2 linked regions of the Drosophila melanogaster genome follow. The protein of the gene in region 2 purifies or fractionates together with the protein of the main gene of each other region. This does not show direct contact. Each region holds a gene or a part of one and is shown on either strand. Other genes may lie near its edges.

Region 1 (7,788 bases), on a different chromosome or scaffold from region 2:
GATTATTATAAGTAAAATTTAAAAGCAATGAATAAAACTTTTTAAAATTCGGACAGCTTGAATACAAAACTCAATACACACTGATTGTCAAAAAAATTTGAGTGATGGAATAAAATCTTTAATACGAACACATTTTATTTAATTTTATTTTAATTTATTTGTCATTTAGCAAATATAAATAACTTTGTTAGTCAATTGGGAATAAATTATTTAAATATTGGCTTTTTAATCACAACTTTTTCAAACAAAAACGCACAATTTTCCATTGCTGCGGGTGGCATAAATTTCCCAATCAGCTGATGGAGCTGCGCAAACTCCAGACGACTACGCAATACAATTGAAATTGTTTTTTGGGGGAAATTCTGCGTGGTTTTCTTAGAGACAATTTCCCCCATTGATAATGGGGGAAATTTTCGATTTGGAAAATGCTCAAGTCGTGACCCATTTTCGTACAACATTTGGTGAAGAGTTCAAAGACCTTTTCTGGCTTGTGGATGGGAAAAGGGAATGGGAAGGGGAATGGGAAGGGGATTGGGAAGGGGAATGGGAAGGGGAATAGAGGCGGACAACCCCAAATGCGTGGGGCTTATTTTTCAGCTGTGCTTTATGCTTTCGCTTTCGGTATCTAATTTAGTTTTCACATTACACTCACGAATGCGAACAGCTAGTGCAACTGCTTTTCGGCTGTTTTGTGTGTGTGTGTGTGTGTGTGGGAGGGGGAGGGAGGGGGCTAACATGATGTCATTCGTTTTATTTATTTTTTTTTTGTTGGGGGGACAACTAGGGTGGAAATGCATAGGCACTCCGTTTTGTGCCCAAATTTTATGCGTGTCCCAGGCCAAAAATTTCCAGGGGGTTGCTATTCGAACCCATACGCAATGCAGCTTGACCCATTTAAGCCCATATTTGCTTGACTCCAAGTTACCAATAGAGTTATTATTTGATAACATTGCTTAGATTCGTAGTGCTTTGGATTAAGTAGGTACCTCACCACCACTTTGCATTTAATATTTTATCTATATAATCAATTATCTAAGCATCCCCAATATAACCCTAGAAGTATTTATCCTACAAATTATTAATAATTGTAATCTTTTTGATTTCGGTTTCTTCATAATTTCTTTGAAGTACTGGTGAAGAAAACTTGATCATACCCAAAAAAAATAAAACAATGTCTATAGTAAATTTTGGCTATCATTTCTTTTGCTCCTACGAACGACATAAAAAACATGTGAGTTTGTGGCAATGGTTCCGTAATTTTTCAGGTCCAATAATTCCCTATTTTCCATGCTTCAGCTTTTCCCCCAAAAGAACGGAAGCTACAAATCAATGCCCTTATTTTTGATTTAATAAAGAACCTAGGAAAGCTGAACAAATTAAGTGAAACATAATCCACGCCACAAAGTTCCTCCCGCTGTCTTCGGATAATCGGAACAAGAAAGCAAATCTTTGACAGAGGTAAAGTTCAAGAACCCCATGAAAGCATCAACACGCATATGAAGATGAACGCAGACACCACTCCATGCCATAAACTGGCTCACTGGCAGTGCTATTGGACGGACTCCCTGCTACACTGATACCCTGCTACCCTGCCTCCATGCCGCCGAGGAAAAGCCCCTGCCCCAAAGTTTTCCCGGCACTGAGAACGAAAGTGAGTCGTTTCACCTACACAACACAACAAAGCTCGGGTGCCTTCACCCTCATTTGGACGAACATTTTTTTTTTTTGGCGCTGCGCAAGAAGTTCATTGAACTTGGTGGAAATTCGGAAGAAGTCCAGAGCCAACGACAAGCTACCAACGCCCTAGCCTCACACCCAGAAATCATTTCATTAGTTTCGTTGTGGGTTGATGCTTCGGCGCTGTACAAAAGTGCTTAGATTGCTACTATTCGTGTCCGACTGGAACATGGCCAAATCGACTAGTGATCCTGATCTGGAGTATGTTGGGGAACGCTTCCATTCACCTGTTTGAGCCCGCTGACCAAAAGTGGAGAAATTAAGGTATTGCATACTTTAAGGATGATACGAAAATTATTACGATTGATATCATTTTTTAATTGGCTTGAGAAGAAACAAGTTAAGTGCAAACCACTTAATACAGTAGCAGAAGATTTAAAGCCAATCAACCAGAAAAAATTGTAGTCCAAATTCTAGTACCTTCTCAAAATGTTTTATTTAACTTTACTTTACTTTGTTTGGTTCTTCGAATCTTTACACACTCATACAAAATATATGTAAATAATTACTAACAGCGTTAGCTGTCCATGTTTTTCGTTTGATCAGTATTTTGAACATATAAGTTAAAGCAAAACAAATTGAAATAATTTGTTTTTGGGATATAAATATAGTAATACGCGCCGTTGATCCTCCATGGCGGAATTCGTGCGTTGCCACATTGTGTGTTGTTGAAAAAAGCATGATGATGTACTCAAAAAAAACTACAATAATATATAGATAAATTTAAACTTAAATGCCGAAACAATCTGGTGTAAAACAACTAGTTTCGCTTCGAAAAGGTGCAACGAATTTCGGCTAACAAATAAAACGGATGAACCCCAATCTCCTGTGTGAACATCTATGCAAGTGAACTGGTATTTAAATAGCCTTATTCATATGTCATTTGATTGTTGTTTTCCGTTAGCTGCTTGTCGTGTCTACTCTTGCGCTGCAGCCGGCTGTAGCTGCGGCGCCAAGCGGTTGACGAACCCAATGCCTCCACGGATGATCTTGGCAAAGGCGGGCGGTGAGCGGGCGGCCAGCGCCTCGAAGGTTATACGCAGCTCAGCGAAAGCGTTGCGCGGATAGGGATTTCGTCGCGAGCTGTAGCGCATCACCAGATAGTGGTAGTAAATAACGGGCGTCATCAATCCAGCGTGGTTCCTAAAATTGAAAGTATTCTGCATTGGAGTGCATTCCCCTCGAAAGATATGTGTTAAAACTCACATGAAGGCCAGCACAATGGCGTAAGGCATGATGAAGATCTCGCAGAATGCAGTTGCCTTCAGGATATTCGCCGCCTGAAACTCTACAATGGAGATGATGAAACGGGCACCCCACCACGAGTTCTGGCCAATCAGCTGTAAGTACATTTCTTATTAGACAAGTGCCAAATGTGAAATATTGCTTTCCTTACATCCAGCAGCTTAAGCGAGTAGCTTGAGGCGTGCAGAACTGAGTACAGCAGCACGGGAATCAGAACCAGCAGCGATGGGCGGATGTTGAAGAAGATCAGGGAGTACATCATGTAATGACACGAGTCCTCGGCAAACAGTCGAGCAAGGAACTCCCGACTGAACGCGAACGCGGGCAATCTCTGGTGCAAACGCAAGGCAGAGATGGCGGCATTAGCCAGCATAACCTTGCTGAATGCGCTCTGTTGTGAGCTGTGGAGAAGTAAGTGAAAATTAGAGTAGGTCAATGTGGAAAACGCGTGTACTCACGTAAAGATGGGCAGCACGTAGCTGACGGTGAAGAAGATGACCAGCAGACGTAGTGCCCATAGCGCGGAATCTATGCGATTTGTCTGAAAATGCTGCAGGAGCTTGGCCGGTACGTTCTGTGATTGAGATTGCTGCGGTTGCTCCTGCTGCTGTGAGGATCTCTCGGAGCTGTTGGTCTGAGCGCCCTCGGAGCGCGGTGGTTGGTCGGTGGGTGCGCTCATGATGAAGTAGCTTTCGTGCTCGCTTTCCGTTCAGTATTCAGTCTGCAAGGCAGTTATGAAAATCAGTATAAGGTTTCTACTTTCGGCCTTATCGGCGGGAATTTGGCTGCTATCTTAGGCATAGGCAGCGATAAGAGAACCTTGGCTAAGTAACTGCGGCGCTATCTGATGTGTGAGGGTTCCAACCTAATGAATAGCCCGCAAGATCTGCCCTCTATGACTCCAGGATTAGACTGCACTACGCTTCTCAGTGCCAAGCGCTTTACGTCTTAATTGAAAGTCAGGGCCAACTGTTAAACCAGTCAAATGGAAAGTGGCTGGCAAACGCACTTAAAACGAGAACGGGCTGGCCCAAAAGTCGTGTTAATGTTCGCTTTAGCCAAGATGACTTGCCCACCATTACGGACAGTGCTTTGCATGAGGCAACCAAAAAAAGAAAACAGCCAAGCCATCGCTAAAGTATCATGTACTCTTACGGTTTGGCAATTATATTTCTCGAGTATGCGGTTTATGATGCCTAGCGCACTAAACGCAAAGATTTCGTTACGAAGCTCGAAGAGAAAACTGCAAGACAGCGCACAATGTGCATGTTGTTACGAAATACACGTCAAAATATTGAAACACAAACAGGTGGCAACAGGTGAAACATGGGAGGGGGAGTGGGCTGGTCTGAGCGATTAAGTAAACCCAACCGAGGGGGTCCATCCTACGTGTACTTTCGATTTACATGTCGAGTAATGAGACTGGCAGTGGGGCAGCCGTATCGATTGGGATCTGTGGACGGAGGGTCCTTCAACGGAAGTGGGTCACCTAGTCAATTTAAGGTAGCACCTGTCAACCCGCGCGCACATTATTCATGCAATAGTCCGGAGTCGGAAGCCCAATTATATGATGTCACATAGTGGACAGTTTGGTTGGTAGGTACACGTCAGAGATTCAGAAGGTAAGTCTCGCAAATTGAGGCTGATTGACCCGACTGAACTCCACAATGAACGGCAACGAAATCAAAGTGCAGGGCTCTTCGCGCCGCGCTGTAGAAATTCGAAACGGTTGCGCTTGGGGATTGGATGCTTCCTCCCCCGCACGGAAGTCGCGGAGCGAGTCCAAATGCCGACCTGCATAATTCACCAGTGTAATTACTGGGCCAGCAGCACACTTTTATCCGATTTGGGAACGACGTCAAGCGAAGAAAGTTAGCCTTTAATCACATGGATTTCGTTTCCGGCAAGGCACTGATTTTTCCTAATTCACGTTGGCCATTCACTTACCTCTTACTTAGCAGCAGGTACGTTCCAGCCTGCGATATGATGTGACTTCGAATTAAACGCAAGTTTTTCTCGTAAATTAATACGTATCAGTTTGGTCGGGGCTCCCGTGCGAACTAGAGATGGACGGGCAAAGTTGATCTAGTTCGATAAAAACGAACTGACACAGGGCTGCCACCGATTTGTATCGCACTGCTTTCTCGATCTTACGAAATTTAAAGACCACGTACTTGAAAGTTGCTGTTTTAGTTGTCGATTAAACGCCTAAATATTCAGTACAGTTTGAAAATGTGTTGTCAAATAAAAGTTACGATACAGGTTTCTGGAGCTAGTTGTATTAATAAAATAACTTAAAATAAATTAAAATTGGTAATCGATTTGCATACGGTTAAAGTGCATATTATTTTGAAAGTATAATTTCAATATCGCAGTTGGCCTAAGTTTCTAATAATTTACAATTTGAAAACAGCGCCAAGGCCTGGAATCCCCCCAATAAGTTCTCATTTGTATCGCTAATTTCGCACCTCTAATCTTCAAACGCACATTTTGGTTTATTTTGATTTGAATGCTCTAAGATTCATTTAGTGGCAAATAATTAATTATGGACGACGACATCTCGCTGCCCGCCGACACTTTGGCCATTTTAAACGAATTTCTGTTGGAGAGATCAAAACGCGAAGCCGAGGAGGAGAATCAAATCGCCAACAAGACCGGCAAGGATGCCCAGTTCGAGGAGGATTGGGCAAGAGCACCTGCACATACCTTAGAAACTTATGGTGAAACTCTCTTCGCTTGCAGCAATTGAGTCAGTTCTGGTACAGCACGGAAACCAAGCACGCATTGCGTGATGTTGTGCGTAAGCTTCTGGCGGAGCGCACGGAGGATTCGGGTGACTTTAGTATAGCACTGCTCTCCTGCCCATCGCTCTACAAGGACATCAGGGAGATACATGACACAGGTAAGTGGACATGTGAAACGATTATGAATGAATTGTCATCATTCTATCTTGTAGTGCACATATTCGAGTTCGACAAGCGTTTCGAGGCCTATGGCACAGATTTTGTGCACTACGACTTGAACTGCGTAGGGAGCAACCCGGACTACCTCAAAGAGCACCACCAGCAATATGACCTCATCGTGGCCGACCCGCCCTTCCTGTCCCAGGAGTGCATCGCCAAAACGTGTGAAATAATCACTAGGCTGCAACGAAACCAGAAGGAGAGCAAGGTAATCCTGTGCTCCGGTGAGGTGGTGGAGCCCTGGCTAACCGCTCGCCTGCCCGTCCTCAAGTGCAGCTTCCGCCCGGAACACGAACGCAATCTGGGCAACAAGTTTGTCAGCTACGCCAACTTCAATTTAGACGAGTATATTGAAAATAAATAAGCAATTGCGTTGAGGGATAAATGCCAGTTTGGAGTTGTAGTCTATTTCGCAGTCTGATCGGCTTCCTTGCGCTGCTGCACCAACTCGCGCAGACCGTCTTCCTGGCTCTTAAGGGACTTCTGCAAGAACTCCTTCTTCTTCTCCAGCAGTTCTATCGCTTTGTCGCATTTCTCCTGCCTAGCCTTCAGGTCCTCGCGCATATTCTGTACATCGGTAAGCAGGAACATGCGACCCACGGACTGGTAAACTCTATAGGGAAACAGTTCAATTAGCCACCTGAACACCTGGAGATGATTAATTGTGATTCTAGTTATGTACCTTGTGTCGTCGGCCAAGCTGCTGGTGCCCTTTTCTGTCAGCTGGTACTTTTGTTTGCCTGTCTTGACCATGTCGCACTTCATGTCGATCATGTGGATCTTCTTGGTCGTCTCCAGCTTATTGATCTGCATCTCGGTGAAGGCCTGCGTGCAAAAGGAATCGTCTATGACTAAGTTCTTTGGAAGAGCACGCGCTCTCCGTCGGCAGTCGGCCTTTTTGGCAACTTGCCTTCCGCTCACCTTCTTCAATTCGATGTCCATTTGTGCCATTTTGTGTGATAGCTTTTCCTTCACAGATGATTGAATGCAAATTGCTTGGCTTTGCTGCGAATTCACTGAAAATTGCAACACCTGCGGTAAGCTTATGGTTTTTTTTTTCTACTTTATTAGTGATGGCAGTTATATCTGACTCCTGCTGGCCTGAAAATATCGATGAGTACGCCCTGCACTATCGATAACCAATTTGCCGGCAAGTGTAAATTCAAACCGATTTCAAGACTTTGAATAAATATGCAAATTGAATTTTTCTTTAAAATGTGGTCACTGGTCACTACCAAGTACAAATATTAATTTTTATGTTATCGCTTATAAAATTTTTATTCAAATTTAAAAAGTACACAATCTTAAAAAAATATATACATTTGAGCTATTTTATTTTATATTTAAAGTCTCGCAGTTCCTTAATACATTTTCTTTAGGTCAATTTAAGAATAAAAGGATAGCCTAACCTTAAGTGCGTATAATCCTGACCCAAATTGTTGAATCTTCTTTTAATATATATATCTACAACCTGACAACAACATTTGACCGTTGGAGATTAACCTCAATTGCGAACCAAGAAGCCATGAAACTGCTCCCGAGTTTCCGATGCGGGCTTCTTACTTGCATCAGCTCCTCATTCACAAGACGGCATGGAGCGGTGGCAGAACAAACTGGCTGTGGTAACAGGAGCCAGCGGAGGCATAGGCGCCGCTTGTGCTCGGGCCATGATCGGCGCTGGACTACGGGTGGTGGGCCTGGCACGTCGGGAGGCCAAGTTGAAAGAGCTCAGGGAGAGTCTGCCCCGGGAGCTGCAGGCGAACTTCATACCGCGGCGCTGCGACGTCTCCAAGGAAGATCAGGTGCAGAGCTCTTTTGACTGGATCGAACGGGAGCTGGAGGG
Region 2 (7,479 bases):
GCAAACAATTTCTTGCAGTGCCACAACAAAAAGTGAAGGGGCCCCAAAGCAAACGTCAAAACGCCTCAAAACGCCTCAAAAGATCAGAGTGTGTTTGTGGCGTCTCGTTTGTTGATGCGGTGGCTAATGGCTGCATATATATTCGTAAGCAAAAAAATAAAGAAATATATGGACAAGGCCTGTCTAGTCATAGCGGTACTTTGAGTGGGCCCCCAAACTGGCGAAAAAAGGAGGAGGATTGGGGTAGCTAATGACTTGGCGCCCAACTGAAGGAAGTTGCCAATTTTTGTTGCTGGTTAACTAGTCGCAACTGGTGTTGATTAGTTTTTCTTTGAATTTCTTTAGGACTCACTTCGTTTTAAATGGGCAATAAAATTCCATGAATTGTTTAAAGGAGAACCACTAACAGTCAGAATTATTAAGAAATATTAGAAGACTCGGAACCTAATTTATTAAATATAGAATCTTCCTAATGTACACAGATTTACTAAGATAATATCAATTAAAATGACCAGTTCAGAGTTTACATGTTATTTGCCGCTTATAGAAATGAGATAATCTTATGAGATCACTTACAACATGCAGTGAGCTTTTCTTTATGTTGATCGAAGGTGTTTTTAATACCATTCAAAACATTTCAAAAAGCTACATTTGCAATGTTTTATTGATTTTATCCAATACAAAGTGTAATGTTATTGTAATTGATTACTTCAATCTAGACTTTAACAGGATATTTTGAAATATTTTTAAAAACTTAATTGTATTTTCTTTAGAAAGATATATTCATTCATTTGTATATGCATATTATGTATTATATTATTATTACTTAAACCATATTTCACTTAAGTTCATATCTCATTTGTTATCACTTTTCGATTCTCCTAAATCAAACTTTCTTTTCCGCTTGCAAAAACATGACCAATCTCTTGATTACTTTTCGACTTAAGCTTCCTCTTCTCAGACTAAACCCAAATCGATCAGTTTATCGCATCCACTCTCAAGCTTTCAAAACTTATCCACATTCAATTTACTAAAACACTTTGCCGTAATCTCTATTTCAGATCCAGCTCCAGTTAGCAGACCGTTACACAAAAGCACTAACACAAAACACTTGGCAGAGCAGCTCTCCTTACGTTTAACTTTAATTACTCAATTATTTGCCAGATTTTGTTGTTTTTCACTTCTTAAGTTGGAAATTAGCCGCGAAGTACGCAGACCTAAAACGTTGGCCAACTGATTAGAGCGAGCGAGAGGCGGCGAGGGGCACAACAACGATCATATCGGATCGGATCTCGGATCGAATGGGAATCAACTATATATCGGACTACTACAGCGCGCGTGTGCGAACGCGCTACGAACCAAACTCAAACTGACGACCGAACTTCACTCCACAGAAATCCACGAGCGAGCAAACACAGCAAATACAAAAGCACAAGCAAAAGCAAAGACGGCGGCAAACAAAAAGAAAGAAGCACAAAGACAATCGAAAGACAGACTCAAAGCTTAGCGAAAGAGTCCGTTGAAGTTCTTTTGGTAAGAACCACAAAAAAGGCGGAAAGGCTTAAATAATCCTTGAACTTAATAATAACCTACATAATATAAATATCCAAGTGTATATTATCAGTCACTTTTGTTCGTTTTGTAACAATAGTCGTACATAGTGGCCTTTGGAAATACATACATAAACTTTATCAACGCGGTCTCATTGAATTATTTTTCTTATTTTAAATGTCTTTTAATTGTATATATTTTCTTATTATACTCAGTGGGAGACTGTTGATCACCTGTGCCGAAAAAAACGTATCTATAATAGAAAATGGGAGATGCTTAGATTGTAGGAAGGAAAATACGGAAATGTGTCGGATTAAAGAGACAGGATTCAGTTGTTATGAAGGAAACTTTTATAGGCGATTGGGTCGTCTACAAGGTGAATTCCCAAAAACAACCAATAAAGAGGGTGTTTGCGTTCCACCCGGACTGCATATCGGTATAAGAAGCATTTGAATAGTAATAAAAGACTAATTTTTTAATTTTACAGATACTATGAATGCCAAAGTCTGCTGCGTTTGGTCACCAGAAATCGGTTGTCAAATCTTATTAACTGAAGATCACCAGGGTGAATTTTGCTTCACTTGCAGAGTGAAATATAAAATGGAATACAAAGGCCTAATTTCCTGTCCGTGCGTAAAAAGTGAAGGATTGGGCCAACCCCATGTGAAATCATGGCAGAACTTTATTTTCACATATTTACTCATAAAATTATCCAGTTTTACCATGGGGCTATAACTTATAAATTTAAAATGTACATATAATTGAAAATTGTTATATATTTTACAGAGAGTTCTAAATACAATAAAGCTTTAGATTAAAATTTGTTTTATTGTGTAAAAATAGAAAACAAATCACAAATACTATGCAAAAATATGAGGATTTTACAAATGAATTTATTATTTTTTCAAAATATTTACAACTAATGTTATCAATATGAAATTAATATTAATAATTAATATTTTATTCACAACGAAGGCAATGGCATTAAAATAATCTCACCTGATACCTCGTATGCAGATGGTTCGAGTCCACGCTCAGGCGCCACCAAAGTTTTGCACCAAGGTTGCAGTCCATAGCCGAAGATTTTGACATGAGTGTGGCCAACTATCCTCAATCCGCTAGTTACACCTCTCCACGGCAAAACCATTAAGGCGTTTTGGTATTCGTGAGAAATCGCTGCACCTCCGTGAGCCCCCCCTCATTCTTTGAATCCTCGCCAACGAGCCGCTAACGTTGCTGACGAATAGTAAGTGCGAAAATTCCGAGCGAAAATTGCATAAGTTTTGTAAAATCGAAATCAAAGTAGCCGAGCGGTGCTCTATCGCTCCCTTAACATACACTAAATTTACGTGGTTGCTTAAAATCCTTCGCTTTTCGGGTAAATTTGGTGTCGTAAGTCCGGGTGCTCGGAATTCGAGGCACGCCGTTATGTAACCTACAAAAGCGAAAAGCAGCTGATTACCCAGCTATATATATAATTAGATAAAGCACATGTCGCCTCCGAGGTACATATATACGTAACTAATGGATGGTCTCTCTACTTTCAGCCGACCCCAGAACAAGAACAGAATCAAGATGTTCTCCAGCTTCTTTGAAACTGCCCGGAACTCGCCATTCCGCACCCCCATGTCGATGGCAAGATGCGATGCCGCCGCCCCAGTGGTGGAACCCCAGCCGGTTGAGGGTCGCCAGATCGCCGCCGCCGCTACCCCGGTGGCCAACCAGCAGGATTCGTGCGAATTCGGCAGCACCAAGTACTTCGCTCTGTGCGGAATTGGTGGCATTCTCAGCTGCGGCACCACCCACACCTTCGTGGTCCCACTGGATCTGGTGAAGTGCCGTCTGCAGGTCGACCAGGCCAAGTACAAGAATCTGGTGCACGGATTCAAGGTCACCGTGGCGGAGGAGGGCGCCCGCGGACTGGCTAAGGGCTGGTTCCCCACTCTGCTCGGCTACTCGGCACAGGTGAGATTGGGCTTCACTTTATGGGTTGCATAATCGTCTGGAGGCGAATTATATGCTCGTGACCAGGTCGGCTGACCTTAATTACATCGGTTCCGGGCTTGAAGCAGATAAAAGTGATTCGAATCGAACATTAGGAAGTTTGATTCCTAGGCTGATATCTTAGTATACCTCAGAATAACAACACACCTTTGACAACTTTATGGTTACGGGAGAAACAGATACCGAAGATAAAATCTTGGATACTACTGCAAACTGAAAAATAACTTCTGAGAAACAGCAGGCTAATCCGCGTTTCTGTATCTTTCAGGGTCTGTGCAAGTTCGGTCTGTACGAGTTGTTCAAGGTGAAGTACGCCGAAATCATTGGCGAGGAGAACGCCTACCTGTACCGCACCTCCTTGTATCTGGCTGCTTCCGCTTCGGCCGAGTTCTTCGCCGATATCGCTCTGGCGCCGTTCGAGGCCGCCAAGGTGAAGATCCAGACTATTCCCGGATACGCCAACAACTTCCGCGAGGCAGTGCCCAAGATGCTAAAGGAGGAGGGCGTCAATGCCTTCTACAAGGGTCTGGTTCCCCTGTGGATGCGACAGATCCCATACACCATGATGAAGTTCGCTTGCTTCGAGCGCACCGTGGAGCTGCTCTACAAGTAAGTAACATTTCCTCTTTAGGTATCCTCTAGTTTCTACAGCGGAAAAACTTACCAGTGCTGTGCACAATATCTGTATTCGTATTAGCGTTTTGCTATTACAATAGTTTAAAGGTAGACTGTTAATCTGTGAAATTTCAAAAGTGATATGCTAATTGATCAAAACTGAAAGTATTCATAATAAAATAAACTTTTAGCGCGTCAGCAGATAAGAATGCCATTCGTATCTAATAAATGGCACGCCAGAATAAAAACCAACGACGAATGCTTATCTTGTTCAAATATAGGAAAATCATATTATTTCAGAACTAGTTTGTTACTATGGATAAAATAAAAAAAGCAAAGCATTCCTTTTGAAGTGCAAATTAGCAGGTAGCCACTGAAAGTTCAAATGTAAAAACTAGAGCAATACCGTTCACAGTTCGGGTTGTCAAGCCCCAACGAACCCCGTTAAATCAATACTAATGATGCAACTTTTCCCAGGTATGTGGTGCCCAAGCCTCGTGCCGACTGCACCAAGGGCGAGCAGCTGATCGTGACCTTCGCCGCTGGCTACATCGCCGGTGTGTTCTGTGCCGTGGTGTCGCATCCCGCTGATGTGGTGGTGTCCAAGCTGAACCAGGCCAAGGGAGCTAGCGCCATCAGCGTGGCCAAGTCGCTGGGCTTCAGTGGCATGTGGAACGGATTGACTCCTCGTATTATCATGATCGGTACCCTGACCGCTCTGCAGTGGTTCATCTACGATGGTGTGAAGGTCGCCCTGGGCATTCCCCGCCCACCACCACCAGAGATGCCAGCTAGCCTGAAGGCCAAGCAGCATTAAGTGGGCTAGTCCAATTGGTTACCTTAAGGACAGAGTTCACTAGTTGGAGCGATTGTGGGCAGACACAGGAGCAACATACTTTTACTTTCTAACGAATTTCGGTTTCAGTATAGCGAAAATGCTTTATACTTGTTTCTCAGCAAGAATACATTAATGTTGCGTGTGTGCCATTGCACATGTACATTCCAAAACAACACTTTACGCATTTCTCTAACACAGCACTTATACACACTTTTTTATAAACACATCTTTCTAACTTTAAAAGCCAAACATTCTATCGTACGAAACTAAGCTACACTCAAGTTCAAAGTATTCAATTCCATATATATTCTGTTATACTATGTGCTATATTTAATCCTATGTGTGTCTAGCTTTCGCTGGAAAGTATGTCCGTATGTTGTACCTTTGATGGCCAGCCCCTTGTTATCTCCTCTCCGCTGCCCCCACAGGCCACACATGCGAATATGATATTAATGCTGTTTCAATTGTCTGACCCGATACCCAAGAAAGCACTCTGAATAAATTAAATTATAAAATATAAAAAACTCTACCAAGCTGCGTTTTCTAATCTTGTCTATCTATTGGGAACTGGTTATTATAGATTGTGGCTGTGATCACATTAGAACGATCGTGGGGATAACCTTATGACCTTATGATTTCCCTGACATTGAAAATGGGGTTTTATGGCGCTATAACTAACTAGCATTGTGAGGTAACCAAACAAGAGATCACGAATGCTGATTGCTTTAAAGGAAAACGGCTAATTTCGGTTTTGTTTAATCGTAATCAGCTGCCAATTGTCTGCGAGAATTTTTATGTGTTGCACAAAATGTCGATTTAAGATGTTTGAGCTAATCTATTATAATTAATATTTTAACACAATGAGCGATTTTTACATATTTAATTTTTAATAACCCACTCGATACTGTTGTAATATTTGTTTGATGCTTCTATAGAATTCGAATGCAAATCTTCATCTCAATTAAATTTATTAAAAAAAGGTTTGGACGTCTTGGCTAAATAAGAAGAACTACAGTATTTTTTCCAAAAATATTTATTTTGTTTATGAGCATTGAGCTGAATAAGACATTACAGTGGCTCGTTGTGTCATAAGTCCAGTAAAAACTAAATAATTAAATAGTACGCTTTATATATGGGCACATATATAGTTGATTTATTCACGTTACGTCAGTTGGGCTCCTTACTAACTAAATAACCTCTAAGAACTAAAAACTAGTCATCGTGATATAACTAAATTCATATGTGTATATAAATGTATTTAACAGGCAATTTTCTGGTATATTGTTTTGCTTTTGCTTCTGTATGTACAAATCGCTTAAATCTAGCTAGGTGTATATATCATATATAGTCGGGGATCTGGATCACACAGAACGATGAGGACAAAGTACTTTGTTGTCTGTAATGTGGTGATGCGAAAATTGCTGGGTTCTTTTTATTATATAATGTATTGCAGGACGTGTTTTCTTCTCCATAACAAGCCATTTCAGTCTTAGCGTTTCAAGTAACCAAAAAGATAAAAGTGTATAATGAAATAAAAAGAATAGAAATAAAAAGTAATAAAACGAATAAACTTAGGGCTACAATTTTGTTGCTTTTCTTGTGTTCTTTCATAATGTGTGTTTTGTTGGTTTTTGTTTTCTTTATTTTGCAGTTGCAGTAAATTTCGAAACAATGGTTTGCTTGAATGCTTCACGCCTCAAAATTCATCTCCTTTCATTTTTATAAGGTTTTTTTTTTCGTTTTTAGTTAACATAAATCTAGTATCAGTTATATAGATGTAGACGATCACACAGGCATACAGGTAAACATATAAATCTATCTTTTCCAAAAATTCTTTACAGTCAAACATAAAACATTTTAAAAAGTTATACATAGATTTTGAAATTCCATCAAGTTGACTAAAGACAAGACATACAAATTCGGGCTTCGCTCAGTAGAAGTAGTTATAAGCCCTCCTATCTCATTTTATATTGAGTAAACCTCAAGTCAATGGCACATTAAAATTGGGATATTTGTACCGGGTATTAGCTTAGGTCAAAAAGTTTCGTTAGTGGTAAAATCTTTTGGACTCTCCCTCTGTCAATGAAACTGATTATAACACTTTAAATCTTTTCCAATTCTGTTTCTTTCTGTTCATGTGGCCTAAATGAGAAACTTTATTCAATCGCTTGGGTCAGGAAAATCCAATCCCGTTCCCAGGCGATTTCACCAATATGGCGTATGTGGCTCCTGGTGCCAGCCATTTTGGTCTTGCACCTTGGCCAAGGCATCGGTCAGGGTGGACCTTATTTGCTGGCTCGAGTTGCGATTCTGACCCTTATCATAGGGCGACAAGGCGTTGTAATAAAAGGGCGATCGCTTGCTAATGGTGTAGTTTTTACCCTGTAAGCAAATACAAATTATGTAAAATATTTTTTAAGTTATTTTGATGCCAAACTCACATCATTATTATCCCAATATTCTGTTTCGTT

The links. Proteins that work in one complex are often made in the same cells at the same time.
Region 1: the proteins of Mpcp2 (region 2) and Kr-h2 purify together in Drosophila melanogaster (affinity purification with mass spectrometry, with the first as the bait; one large-scale study listed by BioGRID). This does not show direct contact.

Annotation. Positions count from the first base shown.
Region 1 is NT_033779.5:6,068,329-6,076,116, reverse strand, and holds Kr-h2 (kruppel homolog 2), read right to left. Parts: upstream 5,128-7,788; 5' UTR 4,930-5,127; intron 3,905-4,929; exon of another isoform or gene 3,704-3,904; 5' UTR 3,662-3,703; coding exon 3,441-3,661; intron 3,384-3,440; coding exon 3,134-3,383; intron 3,078-3,133; coding exon 2,944-3,077; intron 2,881-2,943; coding exon 2,655-2,880; 3' UTR 2,156-2,654; downstream 1-2,155. Other genes in the region: CG9154 (uncharacterized protein), read left to right, coding at 5,528-5,668, 5,725-5,884, 5,939-6,309; Pfdn1 (prefoldin 1), read right to left, coding at 6,351-6,558, 6,628-6,770, 6,867-6,896; CG9150 (uncharacterized protein), read left to right, coding at 7,538-7,788. UniProt on the Drosophila melanogaster protein: Member of the dosage-dependent hierarchy effective upon white gene expression.
Region 2 is NT_037436.4:14,534,906-14,542,384, forward strand, and holds Mpcp2 (mitochondrial phosphate carrier protein 2), read left to right. Parts: upstream 1-2,745; 5' UTR 2,746-2,797; intron 2,798-2,820; exon of another isoform or gene 2,821-2,943; intron 2,944-3,098; 5' UTR 3,099-3,126; coding exon 3,127-3,516; intron 3,517-3,823; coding exon 3,824-4,164; intron 4,165-4,647; coding exon 4,648-4,987; 3' UTR 4,988-5,536; downstream 5,537-7,479. Other genes in the region: CG43246 (uncharacterized protein), read left to right, coding at 1,729-1,987, 2,039-2,286; Gbs-70E (glycogen binding subunit 70E), read right to left, coding at 7,214-7,390, 7,450-7,479.